Linked DNA regions of Diceros bicornis minor. Each later gene encodes a partner of the first gene's protein in a complex. Links are inferred from orthologs where the notes say so. Each region holds a gene or a part of one and is shown in the gene's direction. Other genes may lie near its edges. The genes, in order: TLR4 and LY96.

Evidence for each region.
Region 2: the proteins of TLR4 (region 1) and LY96 are in contact, whole or in part, in a crystal structure (PDB 4G8A), measured with the Homo sapiens proteins. The link is inferred for Diceros bicornis minor from reciprocal best matches to the Homo sapiens genes TLR4 and LY96. Residues at the interface, in NP_612564.1 of Homo sapiens: Gln39, Met41, Glu42, Asp60, Ser62, Phe63, Asp84, Ser86, Arg87, Thr110, Gly111, Val132, Val134, Glu135, Asn156, His159, Ser183, Ser184, Asp209, Leu212, Arg234, Val259, Glu262, Phe263, Arg264, Asn265, Glu266, Arg289, Ala291, Tyr292; in NP_056179.4 of Homo sapiens: Met40, Tyr42, Ile66, Pro67, Arg68, Arg96, Ser98, Asp99, Asp100, Asp101, Tyr102, Ser103, Phe104, Arg106, Leu108, Lys109, Gly110, Glu111, Thr112, Thr115, Thr116, Ile117.

The regions. Positions count from the first base shown.
Region 1 is NC_080767.1:25,339,112-25,346,659, forward strand, and holds the start of TLR4 (toll-like receptor 4), read left to right. Parts: upstream 1-4,319; 5' UTR 4,320-4,539; coding exon 4,540-4,632; intron 4,633-7,548.
Region 2 is NC_080772.1:25,417,102-25,425,191, forward strand, and holds the start of LY96 (lymphocyte antigen 96), read left to right. Parts: upstream 1-4,916; 5' UTR 4,917-5,029; coding exon 5,030-5,141; intron 5,142-8,090. UniProt on the Homo sapiens protein: Binds bacterial lipopolysaccharide (LPS). Cooperates with TLR4 in the innate immune response to bacterial lipopolysaccharide (LPS), and with TLR2 in the response to cell wall components from Gram-positive and Gram-negative bacteria.

The DNA.
Region 1 (7,548 bases):
GTCCTTGCAATTGGGTGTGGTCTTGAGACTAGCTCTGGCCAATGGAGTGAGAGCAGAGATGATACATGTTACTTCTGAATAGAAGTAGTTAAGTATCAGTGCATCTTCCCCATGTTCTTTTCAGATTCTGTGGCAAACTTAGAAGCTGCATATTGAATACGGGACCGTAATGAAATACAAGCAGCCTGGATCCTTGAATCAGTCTTGAAGTACTTCCACTTAGGAATATCCTCACTAAGCATTTCATGAGCAAGAAATAAACTTTTACTGTGTTGTCACTGAAATTTGGAGGTTGATACCGCAATTGGCCTAACTTAACACAGGTCAGTTTTGTCCTTCCTATATTTCTTACTGAATATGCGGTACCTGCCAAATCAAATGAGACATTTCTGCAGGAACTCTGGTGAAGATGAGAGTCCTCCATTGACTCAATGATTATAGGTCCGGAGTTGAACTTGCTCCACATGGAGTGGAAAACTAAGTCACTTCCTATGCCCCTGGCCCAGTCTCTACTACTGTGTGCCTAAGGCGTAATTATTACTACACTTCAGTGGAAACCATGGGCCCAGGATGGTAACTCATCACCACTGTCTTACCTCATTGTAACATGGCAATGGTAGGTCCATCAACAAAAACAAATAAGATTTGATAACTGAAGGCTTAACATTTATCTTTTGTAATTGATACATATGGCCTATCTTCTAGAAGAAGTACACAGAACTGAGATATCTTTGATAAGGTTACTAGATAATAGTGTGTTAATCCCATGAAAAGGAAGCATCTTTACAAGGCACTCTCAGGAATTCTCCAGTCATAGATTGGAAAATTTTCCAGGAAAACTTCTATAAAACACATGTATTAACATCTTAAGAAACATAGTCCAGGAGATCGTTTTAAACCCTTTCTTTCTTTTTTTTTTTTTTTTTGGTTTGGTGAGGAAGATTAGCCTTGAGTTAACATCTGTGCCCATCTTCCTCTATTTTGTAAACGGGATGCCACCATGGCTTGATAAGTGGCGTGTCCATCCATGCCCAGGATCCTAATCTGTGAATCCCAGACCGCCAAAGCGGAGTGCATGAACTTAACCACCATGCCACCAGGCCGGCCCCCTGAACCCTTTCTTTTAGGCCTCATCTTGACCATCAAAGGGTTTTTCTTTCCAGTGATGGGAAGAAAGAGTATTTGCACCATTACATATTTGTATTACTCTATTCACCTATGTGCTGTGTCCTATTAATGGAGTCTAGTTATGTCTGGCCTGAAACAGCACACACGTTTATTTCTCTTTCTTAGGCGATGGACTGTGTGTGTGTGTGTGTGTATGTATGTGTGTGTGTGTGCGCACAGTGGCAATACAAGCCCCAGAATATTATTAACATGGCATGAGGTAATTCTATTCACAGTTTAGGAAGATTGCTTTGATTTCAGGATAAAGGATGGATTAGAAGAGTTGAGACATTAGAAGAGATGAGTCTAGACACTGGGAGACCCGTTAACAGTGAAAGGGAGGAAGACTCACCTCTGCCCACTCTGAGTTCTTTCAGGCTGGGCTACAAATAAAATTGACATGAGACCAAATAGCAGGAGAAAATCAAACAAAGCTTTATAACATGTATATAAGGGAGAGACCCACTGGGTAACTCAACAAAATGGCAGAGGTTCTCTTAAATAGATTCAGATAAAAACAAAGGAGGATGTTGGGAGTGGGGGTAGTCAGCTATGGGAGATTACCAGAAAAGCACAGTAAACAAGAGTAAGGTTATTACACAGATTTAAGGCCTCGCCTTTTGCATTGATAAGTTTCTAGAGATGAGGTCATCACCCTCCTCTTCTCAGTACAGAGGGGGAGATACCTTTACAAATGGAGATTTCCCTTACAGATGTAAATGTTTGGTAAACAGAACTTTGATAAGAATGGGCTTAGCAAGGACCCTCCCAGTCTATCCATACCCAGAGTTATCTATGGTGTTGTCCTGTCCTGGGGACAGGCCTCTTATCTTAAATTCTTTTAGGCAGTTTGGGGGAAGGTCAAATATCCTTCATGATTCTTCTGAGCCTTTATTGTCTTCAGCTTGAAATAATCCGCATACCAGAGTGGCAGATCTTGGGGCGGCCTGCCCTGAACCCCATCAACAATGCAGTGCACTAACCTCGCCAAGGGATATGTTTAATGGTAACACTAATAGAAATGAAGAAAGACATTTGAGAATTATTTTATAGGTAAAATCTCTAGGATTTGGTAGAATGTTTTGTTTTAAAATGAAGGTCTTATTATTCAGGTGTGATGAGACCAACAGATCAGGAGATGACTGGCATTGAAAATATGGTTTGTTGCTCACATTTCCCAAGAGGAGGGGGCACGCCACACCGTGCAGGGCCACATGGGGAAGGAGTGCAGGGTCTGTCAGGAGGCAGAAGGGGCAAGGGCAGGAGCCATTAATGTGGTTTCTGTGGGAAAGGCAAGGAAAGAAAGGGTAAGCAGGCTTAAGATAGGCTAGTTTGAATAATTTCTGCAGGCTCTGGGGTACAAGGACTTTCTCTAGTTGTCTGGTACCTGGCCCTGTGATGATTAGGGCAGGGAAAGATTGCCTCCTAGAATATAAAAGCCAGATACAGGAGGTGGTTCAGGGTAGGAGCTTTTGACTGGTTAGTTTGCATATGAAAGGTGTGCTCTAGGGCAAATCATTTGCTATCTCTAAGAAATGGCTAGCCCTGGGAGGGGCAGTCTATCCCCAGTCAGCAAGGCCCCAAGCCAGAGCAATGAGAAAACAGGAAATAAGAGAATACAGTTAACACCCATTCGATGAGGAAAATGCAGAAGTCAAAGAGATTTCCATCTTGGATGACTATGTGGAAGTGAAACGCTGTTAACTTTCCAGGGAACTAAAATTTACTGAGCACCTACTCTGTTCCAGGTGCTGCCCTAAGACGTTTACATAGTTGCAATTCATCATCAAAGCAAAGTTTGGACAGGCAGACTATTTTTAGTTTAATTTTACAGCTGTGTTCAAGAAGTCTGCAAGAGTTTGTGCTCAGTCTCCTATGCTCCCTCACTGCTTGATTTTAGATATGCTGGATTTGAGGTGTCCGCAGGACATCTTGGTAGAACTATCTAACTATCTAGGACACAATGCCAGTAATATCCCTATTTTAATCTATGTTCTTATTTAACAGAAACTTACACTGCACTTGCTACATCCCAGATACTGTCCTAAAAGCTTTACAAATGCCAGCTTATTTAATCTCATGACAATACTTTGAGGTTCATATTGTGAGCCCCATTTTATTATTTTATTTAGTCATCATAATACCTACCGATTTACGGAATATACTGATGAAGCATGCGCTAGACTAAGCATTTTACGTAAATTCAATCATGCAAGACAAATGTGATTGTCTCCTTTTTAAAGACCAAGAATGAAGGCTTAGCAACTTGTATCATTTGGCAACTGTCACATGGCTTTATTTTTATAAATTTTATAAATGCAAGCCTTTGTTGTAATTAAAAACTATTATCCCATTTTACAGACCAGAAATTAAGGCTCAGTAGTTTCAGTGACTTGACCATGTCACATGGCCATAAATTACCCAGCCTGGATTTGAATTTCAGTATATTTGATTCTTCATCCCAATCTTTTCCCAATATTCTTGTACTTTTCAAACTGTGTTTCACTGGGGCTTTATTTTCAGTTTCATAAATGTGAGTTTCTTCACAAGATTTTACAAGATTGCACAGCGCTGTGGGCTGAATCATGTCCTCCCAAAGTTCATGCGTTAAAGTCCTAACCCCTGTATCTCAGAATGTGACTGTATTGGGAGTAGGGTCTTCAAACAGGTAATTAAGGAAAAATGAATTCACATGGGTGAGCCCTAATCCAATCTGACTGGTGTCCTAATAAGAAGAGGAGATTAGGACACAGACACACCCAGAGGCAAGAGCATGCAAAGGCAGAGGGAGAAGACGGCCATCTAAAGCCAACGAGAGAGCCTGAGAAGAAATCGACCCTGCTAACACCTTGATTTCAGACTTCTAGGCTCCAGAACTGTGAGGAAATAAATTTCTGTTGTTTAAGCCATCCAGTCTGTGGTATTTTGTTATGGCAACCCCAGGAAACTAACACAGACAGTAAGTTTCCACTGCTAAAACAAAATTGGAAAGGCACCATCCTAGATAGTTACACAGGCTGTTTGACTGGTCTGATTTTTTTTTCCTGAGTTCACTAACCCGGAGGTCAGATGACTTCCTGGGATAAAAGCCAGCTTCCTCTCGCTGTTACTCCAGCCACTGGTCTGCAAACGTTTTCTTCTTCTTCTTCTAACTTCCCCTCCTGTGACAGAGCAGATAAATATTAGAGAAACAAAAGTCCAGAATGCTAAGGTTGCCACTCTCACTTCCTCTGGCCCCTTAAGCTAGCACTGCTTTGAATACAGTCATTGCCGTGGGGAACCGAGCAGGGGAGAGAAGACAGCAGTGCCTCGGAGGCTGCCCTGGTGCGTCATGCTTTCACAGGGCCACTTTTGGTCGCAGAAAATGCCAGGATGATGCCGCCCACCCGCCTGGCTGGGACTCTGATCCCAGCCATGGCCTTCCTCTCCTGCCTGAGACCTGAGACCTGGGACCCTTGTGTGCAGGTATGTGGTGGCGTCAGCTCATCTGCTGTGAGCTTTGCCTTGCTTCTGAAATACTGCTCTCTGCCCAGAACTTCCCACTGTGGGCTCTACTTAGTTTCATTTGCTAAAAGGAGTCAAATTACCTGAAAGACTTGAGAAGCCACAGGCACCAAATAATTCGTGGTTACCAGACACTAACAGGCAGCCATGGGGTCGTGTTCCATTTAGGACTTTAAGTGCTAATAGGGGCTTTACGTCAGATACACCTGCTTAAAATCACTGTTCTTCACCTTCTGGGCTGTGTGACCTTGAAGAAGTTATTAAACCTCTCTGAGACTAATTTTCACATCTATAAAATAATTGTAATGATACCTCATTCAATAGAGAGTTCTAAGAAGGTGCCTTCCTGTCCTCCCTTCCCACTGGTGGTTTGTACACTCAGCTTCGAGCAGTCACTTTGCCCCTTTCAATGTCAGGAAGAAGATGGTTTTCTGTTTCTTAATAGAAAGAACTTTCAAAGTGGATTTCAGACTTCTGAATCTAGTCATAGTTCTGTCCAAAGGATGAAAAGAAAAGAGATTGGAAAAGAAAAAGAGAGAGAAACAGAGAAAGAGACACAGAGAGAGATAAAGAGAGAAGAAAAAAGAGAGAGAGGGAAAGATGTAAAATATCAGCTAATCCAGTGGTTTCTTTCTTTGTGAAACACCAGCCAGCTAATGATCTCATTCGTGATGGATCTCTTGTTTTTCCCCTGCGTGGACTTCACAGTTGCTTTGAAGCCCATGATAGAACCAAACAGCCAAAACAATGCCCTGGGATTTAGGCTGTGGCAGGGTCAGAAACAAGAAAAGCATAACCAGCCAGAGTCCTAAAATTGAGGACATGGGGGAATAGTGCACCTTAATATGTACCAAAGACACATTTGTTATCTCCAAGTCGTGTATGCTCCCAGTTCCCCACTTCTCGTCCTCCTCTCTGTGTGCCTCCTGCTGCTAGGTTAATGGGGATAGATCCTCCAATCAAGGTCATCTCCACTCTTGGATCCTCCCTTTCCCCACGTTCCCTATTCTCTCAGTCTCCAAAACCTGTCCAACCTCAGTGCCACCAAGGGCAGGTCCTCAGTTCCCTTGGCCTTGACTCTTGGATAGTGACTGGTCTCCTGACTCCATAGCCTGCTTCCTTTAATTCACTCTGCACATTTTTGTTTGTTGTTTATTTGTTGTTTTTCCTGAGATTCGGTTCTAACAAACTGCCCTCCTTAAAAGCTTATGCTAACTCTCCATTGCTATTAGAACTGTTTGTTACCTCAGGGCCTTTGCACTGGCTATTTCCTCTAGCTAGAATGCTTTTCCCCTAGATCATTGCTGCCCAATGGTAATATCATGTGGGTCACATGATATTATTTAAATAACAAATTTAACTAAATTCTTATTTAACTAAATTAACTAAATTTTAACTAACTAAGTATAAAACATACTTTTAAATCTTCTAGTAGCCACATTAAAAGAATGAAAAGAGGGTCAGCCCCGGTTGCCTAGTGGTTAGTTTTGGCACACTCCACTTCGGCAGTCCGGGTTCAGTTCCTGGGCGCAGACCTATACCACTGGTCAGTGGCCATGCTGTGGTGGTGGCCCACATGCAAAATAGAGGAAGATTTTCAACAGATGTTAGCTCAGGGCAAATCTTCCTCAGCAAAAAAATAAAAAATAAAAAATAAATAAATAAAAAGAAACAGGTGAATTTAATTTTAATAATATTTTTATTTAACCCAGTATATTCAAAATATTTTTCAAGATGTAATATATACTAAAGTATTAATAAGATATTTTACATTCTTTCTTTGGTACTAAGTCTTGGAGATTTAGTACATGTTTTACATTTACCATATGTCTCAGTTTAGACTATTCACATTTCTCATGCTCAATAGCTGTGTGTGGCTAGTGGCTACCCTATTGGACAGTGCAGGCCTAGATATTTTCATGGCTTAATCCCTCACTTTATTCATATTTCTGCTTAAATGTCACCACCTCCAGGAGGTCTTTCTTGATCACCTCATATAGAACTCCCCACCCACATATTTGCCTCTAATCTCGTGTTGCTTTATTTTTTAATAGCACGCCATTATATATTTTTTGTTTATTGTTTGTCTTTCCCTTTGAAACGGAATCTATGAGAGAGAGAGATCATTACTGGTTTTGTTTATCACTATATCCCAGTGCCTCGCACATAGAAATTGATCAATTTATATGTGTTAAATGATTAAAAGTATTGCCACAGGACAAAGTACGAGGCCCTCCTGGCCTGGCTCTGGCTTCCCCTCTGGCTTTGGTTTCACCACTCTCACCATGTGCCAGCTGATCTGAACTAGTTTTTCACCCCTCCTTACACTGTTCTCTCCTTCTTCCTCTTTCCATGTATCCAAATCTTACTCATCCTTCAAGACCCACTTCGAAAACTTCTCTTTCTCAGAAGCCTTCTGCGATCCCTGGATCCGGAATTGATATCTACCTTTTCTGAACCAAAGGAAATATTTTCCGAGCGTTTCCAATATGGTCCTTTTTAGTGATGTGAGTTGTGCTCCTCTCTGAACCCTTCCTCTATCTAGATTGTGAGATCATTGATGTCAGGAGCCACATCACGTTGGTCTTTGTACTGCCTGCAGCACTTAGCAGAAAATGCCTACCATTTGGATTTCAACAAACTTCCATTCCATCAGTTATTCATTCATTTATTCACCAAATATTTACTAAGCATTAACCATTTGCCAGGCACCATCCTGAGTGCTGGAGGCATAGCAGAGAGCAAGACTATCAAAGCTTACAATCTAGTGAGGGAAATAAACAATATACACGGAACAGTGACGTGGACAATGTAATGTTAGATAGTGATGCATCCTGTGAATGAGGATAAAAGAGGGTAATGGAAGAGTGTCTGGAA
Region 2 (8,090 bases), on another chromosome or scaffold:
GTAATAGTGACCTAAGTAGTGTTGTCTTCTGACCAGTGGTGTAGGTCTGCACCTGGGATCTGAACCCGCTAACTTGGGCTGCCAAAGCAGAGCATGCTGAACTTAACCACTATGCCACCAGACCAGCCCATAAGTAGTGTTGTCTTGAGTGGTCTCATTTGTCATTCCATGTGTGCTCTCCTCCCTTAGTGCACCCTATCAGAGTAGGAAAATCATTTGTACTAAAAAGATGGACAGTACCTTTTATAAAATAGCAATCTCTTAACTTTATCGAGTGTTGATAGTTTAAGGTGTTTACCTCTAATTGTAAAATGAAAGTTGGTTCTTGTGAAGGATTTTCAGCCAGAAGCTAAGGCCACACATCATGCTATTTAGATCAGGAGATACTAAGTGCCTGGAGTGTGCCAGAGGCACAGTTAAGAACAAAACACCGGGCTGGCCCCATGGTGTAGTGGTTGAGTTTGTGTGCTCCACTGTGGCGGGCCGGGGTTCATGGGTTCAGATCCCGGGTGCGGACCTACGTCACTCATCATACCATGCTGCGGTGGTGACCTGTATACAAAATAGAGGAAAGATTGGCACAGCTGTTAGCTCAGGGCTAATCTTCCTCAGCAAAAACCCCCCAAAAAACGACACCCACTCTGTTTGGAGCTGCCTAACGTGTCCTGTTGCCTGCCAAGATGGTAACTCTAATCTGTACGGCTTGCCTGTGTATGAGGCAGGTTGATGGGAAGCAGCAGGGGCATCACTAGTTCCTAGGGAAAGATGGTTCAAGTCTGAAGCTGCTAGAAGTCGATAGGAGACAGCTTGAGTGAGGAAAGTGTTCATCTTCCTGTGACCCAGAGCCTGCCCTCTCCTGGGAGCAGCCAGCTTGTGATCCTAGCAGTGGGTGGGCTCTGGGTCTCGGGAAGATGAACAGGTAGTACCATCTCTCTCCTTAGGTTGGGCCTCTGCCCGCCTGCTCCTCTGTCTTGTGTCACCTAGATACATACCTGTTGCTATCCTAGCAGTTAATGTGATTTATATCTTTCTCTGAAAATTATTCCATGATCAAATGCTCGTTATCAAATAGAAAGTAGAAACAAGAAGAAATCACTCCTAGAAAAAAACGGCGTCGTTAACATTTTGAAGTTTCCAAAGGGTCGATTTCCTCGTAACTTGTTTTGAGTCCAGGATATCTTTTTTTTTTGAAGGTCCTGTATCCGTGTAGCCATTTTCTCACCTATGTACTGGTGTGAAAAACCCATTTTTATTAGTATCAGAATAACTTTTCAGAAGACAGCTTGGTTGTTTAGGAAAAAAAAAAGGCTTAAAAGACTGAGAGAGAGGATTTCTAAAGGGCGTGGTCTGGAGTGAGACTAAGATGTAGACAAGGATCAGCATGCATAGGATAACACGATGATTCATTACTGAAATAGCGGAAACACCAGTCCGAGATGAGGAGAAGTATTCGCACATCTCTCCATGACACTTCACCACCGTCACCCCAGGCAGAGTCATCCCACTTTCTATGAGAAAGGCATTGAGTCAGGTTTTTTTGAGTCTCAAAAGGCAGGGTGCCCGGCTAACATCTAGGTGACATCAGATAATATACCCTTTGACAATTAATTGTACTGTACTGTAATCCTTTTTCTCAGTGGAGATTTCATTATACTGAAAGACTTCAGCTTTTAGAAGCAAAAGTAACAAAATGGCGGTTAGGTATGAATAATAGCCTTAGCTTGGACACATTTGTTAAAATTGTATTCTTATTTTTTCAGAATACTTTGTACTTTTGTTGTTGTTTTTCTTTTCACTGAGAATTTCAAACATTCAAAAGTAGGAGAGTGAACCAACATGACTATCATCCAGATTCAACAATTACCAATTTGTGATCAATATTGTTTCCTCTAGACCCTAACCACTTACCCTCTCCTTTTATTTGGAAGCAAATCCCAGATGTCATAACATTTCTTAAGTAATTAATTTTGTAACACTACAAAATAACGACTTAAAAAATGTAACTATAATACCATTATAATACCTAAACTGCCCCCCTCAATGTTATCAAATATCCAATCTTCAAATTTCCAATCGTTTCATAACTTTTTTCTCCACATTTTGTTTGGATTAAGAGCCAAGTAAAATTCATACCATATTCACAAACTGTTGAAATGTCTTTTAAGACTCTTCTAATCTATGGGCCCCTCCATTTCTTTCACAATTCTTTTCTTCCCCTGCAAATTATCTGTTGAAGAAACTGAGTTGTCTTGATATCTTTTCATGGTCTGGATTGTCTGATTGTATCCCCAAGGCATAGTTTAACATGTTTCTCTGTCTTGTGTATTTTCTACAAATTGGACTTGAGGCTTCATCAGATTGAGGTTTGATTATTCTGGACAAGACTAAGTCATAGATGATGTTTGTATTGATTATCTATCATTGCATAACAAATTGCCCCTCAAACTTAGAGGCTTAAAACAACAAACACCTGTAATATTGCACAGTGTATTGGTCAGGAATTCGGGAGTGGCTTAGCTGAGCGGTTCTGGCTCAGGTTCTCTCATGAGGTTGCAGTCCAGATATTAGCTGGTGCTGCTATCATCTGAAGGCTGGACCAGGCCAGGAAGCACTGCTTCTAAGACGGCTCACTCACACGGCTGACAAATTGGTGCTGGCTTTTTGGCATGAGGCCTCAGTTTTTGACCACATGGATCTCTCCTCAGGGCTACTTGCTTCCCCCAGAGCAACTGATCCAGGAGAGCAAGGTGGAAGCCACATGTCTTTTATGATCTACCTTAGAAGTCACACATTGTCATTGTGCAATATTTTATTAGTTACACAGTTAGCCTTATTCAGTGTTGGAGGGGACTACACAGGAAGTTGCGTACCAGGAAGTAAGGATCATTGGGAACTATCTTGGAGGCTGGCTGCCACAGTGTTCATCCATCAAGAGGTACACAATGCCTTTCTGTCTCTCCCTTTGTGATGCTCAATGCCTAAGTCCACTAATTCATTAGATGTTGCAAAATGGTTATACACTACTATTCCTTTTTCGTATATTAGCTAAAATATATCTCAAAGTAGAGAAAAGAGTAAGAGATGGCAAGGGAAACTTGCCCCTCTCTATTATTTGGTTACCGATTGTTCCGTTTTTATAGAAATGTCAGGATAAATGCTTGATTCTTTCCCTTTATTTACCAATCTTCAAAATAGAATTGATTTCCCAGCATCAACTGATGGTTAATTAGACTTAAAAAAATTATTATGAGCTCATGGATTTAAATATATTTGATGTGTTTCAATTCATTGCAGTTACTATCTTATTGAAGTTCGTATAATCTACAGGTAGGCTGAATAATGGCCCTGCAAGATGTTTATGTCCTAATCACCAAAAGCTGTGAATGTTACATTATACAGTAAAAGAGATTTTTTAGATGGATCTTGAATTAGGGAGATTATCCTGGATTATCCAAATGATTCCAGTGTAATCACAGGGATCCTTATAAGAGGGAGGCAGGAGGCCAGAGGAGATGTTAATGTGATGTTGGAAGCAGAGGTGGTAGTGCTGCACTTTGAAGATGGGAGGCAGGCAAGGATTGCAGCTCTTGAAGCTGAAAAAGGCAAGGAAACAGATTCTTCTCCCAGATCTCTAAAAGGATCCAGCTCTGCTGACATCTTGACTTTAGCCCAGTGAAAATGATTTTGGACTTGTGACCTCCAGAACTGTGAGAGAATGTATTTGTATTGTTTTAAGCCACAAGTTTGTGTTTATTTGTTACAGCAGCAATAGGAAACTAACAACGCTGTCTTTGATCAGTGGAACCACCTTCAAATTGGTTATCTAATATGAGAAGATGTTCTGGGTTCATCTTGTACATTTTTTGCCCCAGACCTGGAATTAACAATTTCTCCAAAGAGTCTTGGTTCCTTTGATTAGGAAATTGTATTTTGAGACCCCTAAGGGCGTTCATGGGTTTTTCCTCCTTTTTTTTTTTTTTCACTTGTAACGTATATTTTTAAATTGTCAAAAACATAAATTTACCATCTTAACCAATTTTAAATGTACAGTTCAGTAGTGTTAATTATATTTACATTGAGGTACAACAGATCTCTGGAACTTTTTCATCTTGCAAACCTGAAACTCAATACCCGTTGAACAGCAACTCCCCATTTCCCTGTCCCCCCATGGGTTTTTGCCTTTTTAAAAATGGGACAGTAGCACAGTTCTTTAGTGAAAACTTTTTACCAACATATGATTATTTTCCTCTAAACGTGTAGATTTTTAGGTCCTGACTCCACACCATTTTTGGCTACTAATCCCAAACTATATCTTATAAAGGATTTCAAGTACACAGCATCTAAAAGATTAGCTGTTTTTCTAAAACGGACCGAGAATTTTGAAATGAAATACACGCCACACACGAAATAATGATCATTTCATTATTAGGGCTCAAGATAATCCTTGGAGCTGTAGTTTGCTCAGGTAAGTGCATTTTCAAGCCTGGTGGGACCCCTGCTCACAAAGCAGAACCACAGCTAGTGTCCCATATCCCGGCTCTGCCCCGTGGTTGACCCTGCTGCTGAGTGGAAACAGTTTGCATAAGACTGGTCAGTTCAGATCTATAGGTCCAGGTCTCCCGGCCATGAGAAAGTGTTGTGTAACGAGCTCATGGGAGAGAATAGCAATGCAGGTGGAAAAGGAGTGCCAGTCTTTTGGAATTCTAAAGGATACTTTCTATTGGCTGGGAAGTATCTTGTTTTGTTTGTAAAGCTCTGGTCACCCTCATTTGCATCAAGTGTTTGAAGAGTATGTTCTAAATCATTTTCCTCTCTCCCCTTGCAGGAAGTGCTCACATATTAAACACACACACACACACACGCGTACACACACACACACACACACACACAAAAGAGGAAACAGTTGGATAGGAACTCAGAAATCATGTGACTGATGACTAAGTTAAATTTCTTCTACATACTGAAAGGGAAGAGTGATGATTAGTTATTGATTCTCCTTGCATTTTTAAAGTTTTGGAGAGATCGAATCATGTTCTCATTTATGCTGTTTTTCTCTCTGTTTTCTTCTGTATTTACTGAACCTGAGAAGCTACACTGGATCTGCAACTCCTCTGATTCAAGTATCTGGTACAGCTACTGTGGTAAGTACAATGGCCACAGACAGTAGTTGTAGCGTCGGCTATTTCAAGGGTGAGTTTTCACAAGAACCTTATTCTGTTGTCGCTGGGACACAGGAAATGACTGAGTGTTCCAGTTGCTGCTGGCAGCAAAAATGATGGCTGGTTCCCGCCCTGTGCGGGTTTTCTCGACCCTTCACAGACCTCACGAGTCTCTCAACTGTGCTGTACTTGACTTCCAAATGCTTCTGCTTTTCCCTGTGGTCAGTTGTCTCTACTTTGAGCTCGGTTTCAGGTTCTTCCCAGTTTCGGCAGAAATGTCTGCTTCTGAGATTTTGCCTCAGCCCCAAGACTTACTGGTTCTTCTTGAGAAGACAGAACAGTGCTAGCTGCTTCCTGGAATCGATTATTGCTCCACACTGTGGTTCTTTTTTCAGCACAGTGCCGGGCCTGTGACAGGTTCTCTGTAATTGTTTCAGGCTGTGAATTTCGAGAGCTCCTGGAATCACCTCCCTCATTAGATGTAAGCCTGGTTCTGTCAGTTACTAGCTGTGTGACCTGGAGCAAAGTACTTAGCCTCTCTGCATCCCAGCTCTTTTATCTGTAAAATGAAAGTGATTTTAGAGCCCATTTTACAAGGATTGCTGTGAGGTCAAGTTTTCTATGTGAGGAGTCACATGGAAACAATAATTTTGATTGCTTTTTTTAAATCAGCCATTCCTAATGTTATTAGCTGGTTGTATCACTGTGTTTTGTTTTTTTTCTTTCTCTACAAACGTCTGCTGGTCTGAAAGCATGGTTTCAGGGTTTGATCTCTGTTTTGGTTTGGTACTTCCCACTGCGTTGCTCACCATGGATTGGCTGCCCTTTTCTACCCACTAGCAACATCAGTACGGTTTAAAGGGGTGCTTCCCAAAATGCTAGGTCTTTGAGAGTCTCTTGGGAAAAAGCATCTATGGTCTAACCATTTGAGGAAGATTTACAAATGTATTTTGAATTTTGAAAAATTCTGCAATAAAGAAACCTATTTAATCCCTAGATTTTCAATTTTATTTTACTTTATTTTTTGAGTGTGTTGACTGTCCTGAGAAACACTCTCAGGAAAATGCTGATATAAAGTATCTTTCGGGGAATTAAAGTAATTGCAGAGTGTGAGAACAAGACTTTGGGGTGTGACCAATCTCACACTTGTGGCTTTTTTCCTATTTGTGGCTTGTGCTGACTTCCCCCTCAACTTCTCTCTGAAGTTTCTGCACCCTGCAAGATCAGTGTACCTTCCCCCCTTCCGGAAGGCTCTGCACCTGTGGCCCCTACTTCTCTCCTCTGCTTTGGCCCCTGTGTACCACATATTGATTATGCCCCCTTCTCTGTACTATGTGCCGTATGGCCTTTATTTATATAACACTTCATGTTATTACTTTGCTTTTAATCTTTTAGGAACAATAATTCGATTTGTCTTTTGATTTGATTTTTGAGAGAGGATCTTACCTGTTTCTCTCTAATGCTGAGAAATGGGGTCCTTTCCTGCCACCCCACGGATAGATGCAGGAACTGTGGGGAGGAGGCAGAATACACAGCTCCACCAAGACTCTGCTAGCCACCATCCCCACTGCCATGTCCCTCCCTTCCCCACCTTAGAGCACGCATCCTGGCTGAGCAGAAAATGCATGCTGTGTGGGAAGCACTGGTCCCTCCAAGTATATTGTGAGGATGTTGGTGACAACAACAAGCCCTGATTCAATCATTTCTGGGAGGATGATTTCCATTTGGCCATGCTACTGGGCATGTACAGTGTATCACATGGGCTGCCGTAACAAAACACCGCAGACTGGGGGGCTTAAGCAACAGAAACTTATTTCTCATAGCTCTGGAGGCTGGAAGTCCAAGATCCAGGGTCAGCAGGTTAGGTTTCCCTCTGAGGCCTCTCTCCTGGGCTTGCAGATGGCTGCTTTCTTGCTGTGTCTTCATATGGCCTTTTCTCAGTGTGTGCTCATCCCTCGGGACTCTCTGTGTGTCTAAATCTCCCCTTCTTCTAAGGACACCAATCATATTGGATCAGGGCCCACCTGACTGGCCTCTCTTTAACTTAATCTCCTCTTTAAAAGCTCTGTCTCCAAATACAATCACATTCTGAGGGACTGCGGGTTAGCACATCAACATGTAAATTTAGTGGGGATGCAATTCAGCCCATAACATACAGAAATGGCAAGAATTGGCTGTTTTATTGCCTAACTTTGGAAAAGGCGGAAAATGTGGGTGTGTGAGCTCTAGACACACACCCTCCTGTAACCTAGAGTGGTCAGATTCAGTTCTAACCTTTTTTTTTTTTTTGCTACAAATAGTCCAGAAACCCAAGGAATTAATGGATTATAATTAAACCAGGATTCACTGACCATCTGGCATGTTCCTGTTCTAGACACTGAGCGTATTATATAGCAGTGAGCAACAGAGACAAAAGTACCTGCCCTCATGGAGTTTCCATCAGTAAAATATTCAGCATGTCAGATGGTGGTAATTGGTGAGAGAGAAAAATAAAGCAGGGGAGGGGAGAGAGAGGGCAGAGATTGGGAAAGGGGTTGCATTATAAATTAGGATGACCAAGGAAGGCATCACTGAGAAGGTGACATTTAGCAAGCACCTAGAATAGTGGAGGGAGTGAGCCATGCTGATGTCTAGGGGAAGGGGTGGAGGAAAGAGCAAGTGCAAAGACCCTGGGGTGGGAACGTGTCTGGTGTGTTGGAAGGGTAGCAAGGAGGCCACTGTGGCTATGAAGGAGTAAGTGAGAGGGAAAGCAGTAGAAGATGAGGTAACAGAAGGAAATGGTGAGGAGGTGAGGGCCTTGTAGGTCAGGGGACGACTTATCTTTTACTCTTAGCAAAGCTTGGTCTGGCTCCTGTGTTGATAATAACCTGTAAGGGAACAAGGGTGGAAGCAAAGCTGTTGCAATAATCCAGGTGAGAGAGAGAATGGTGA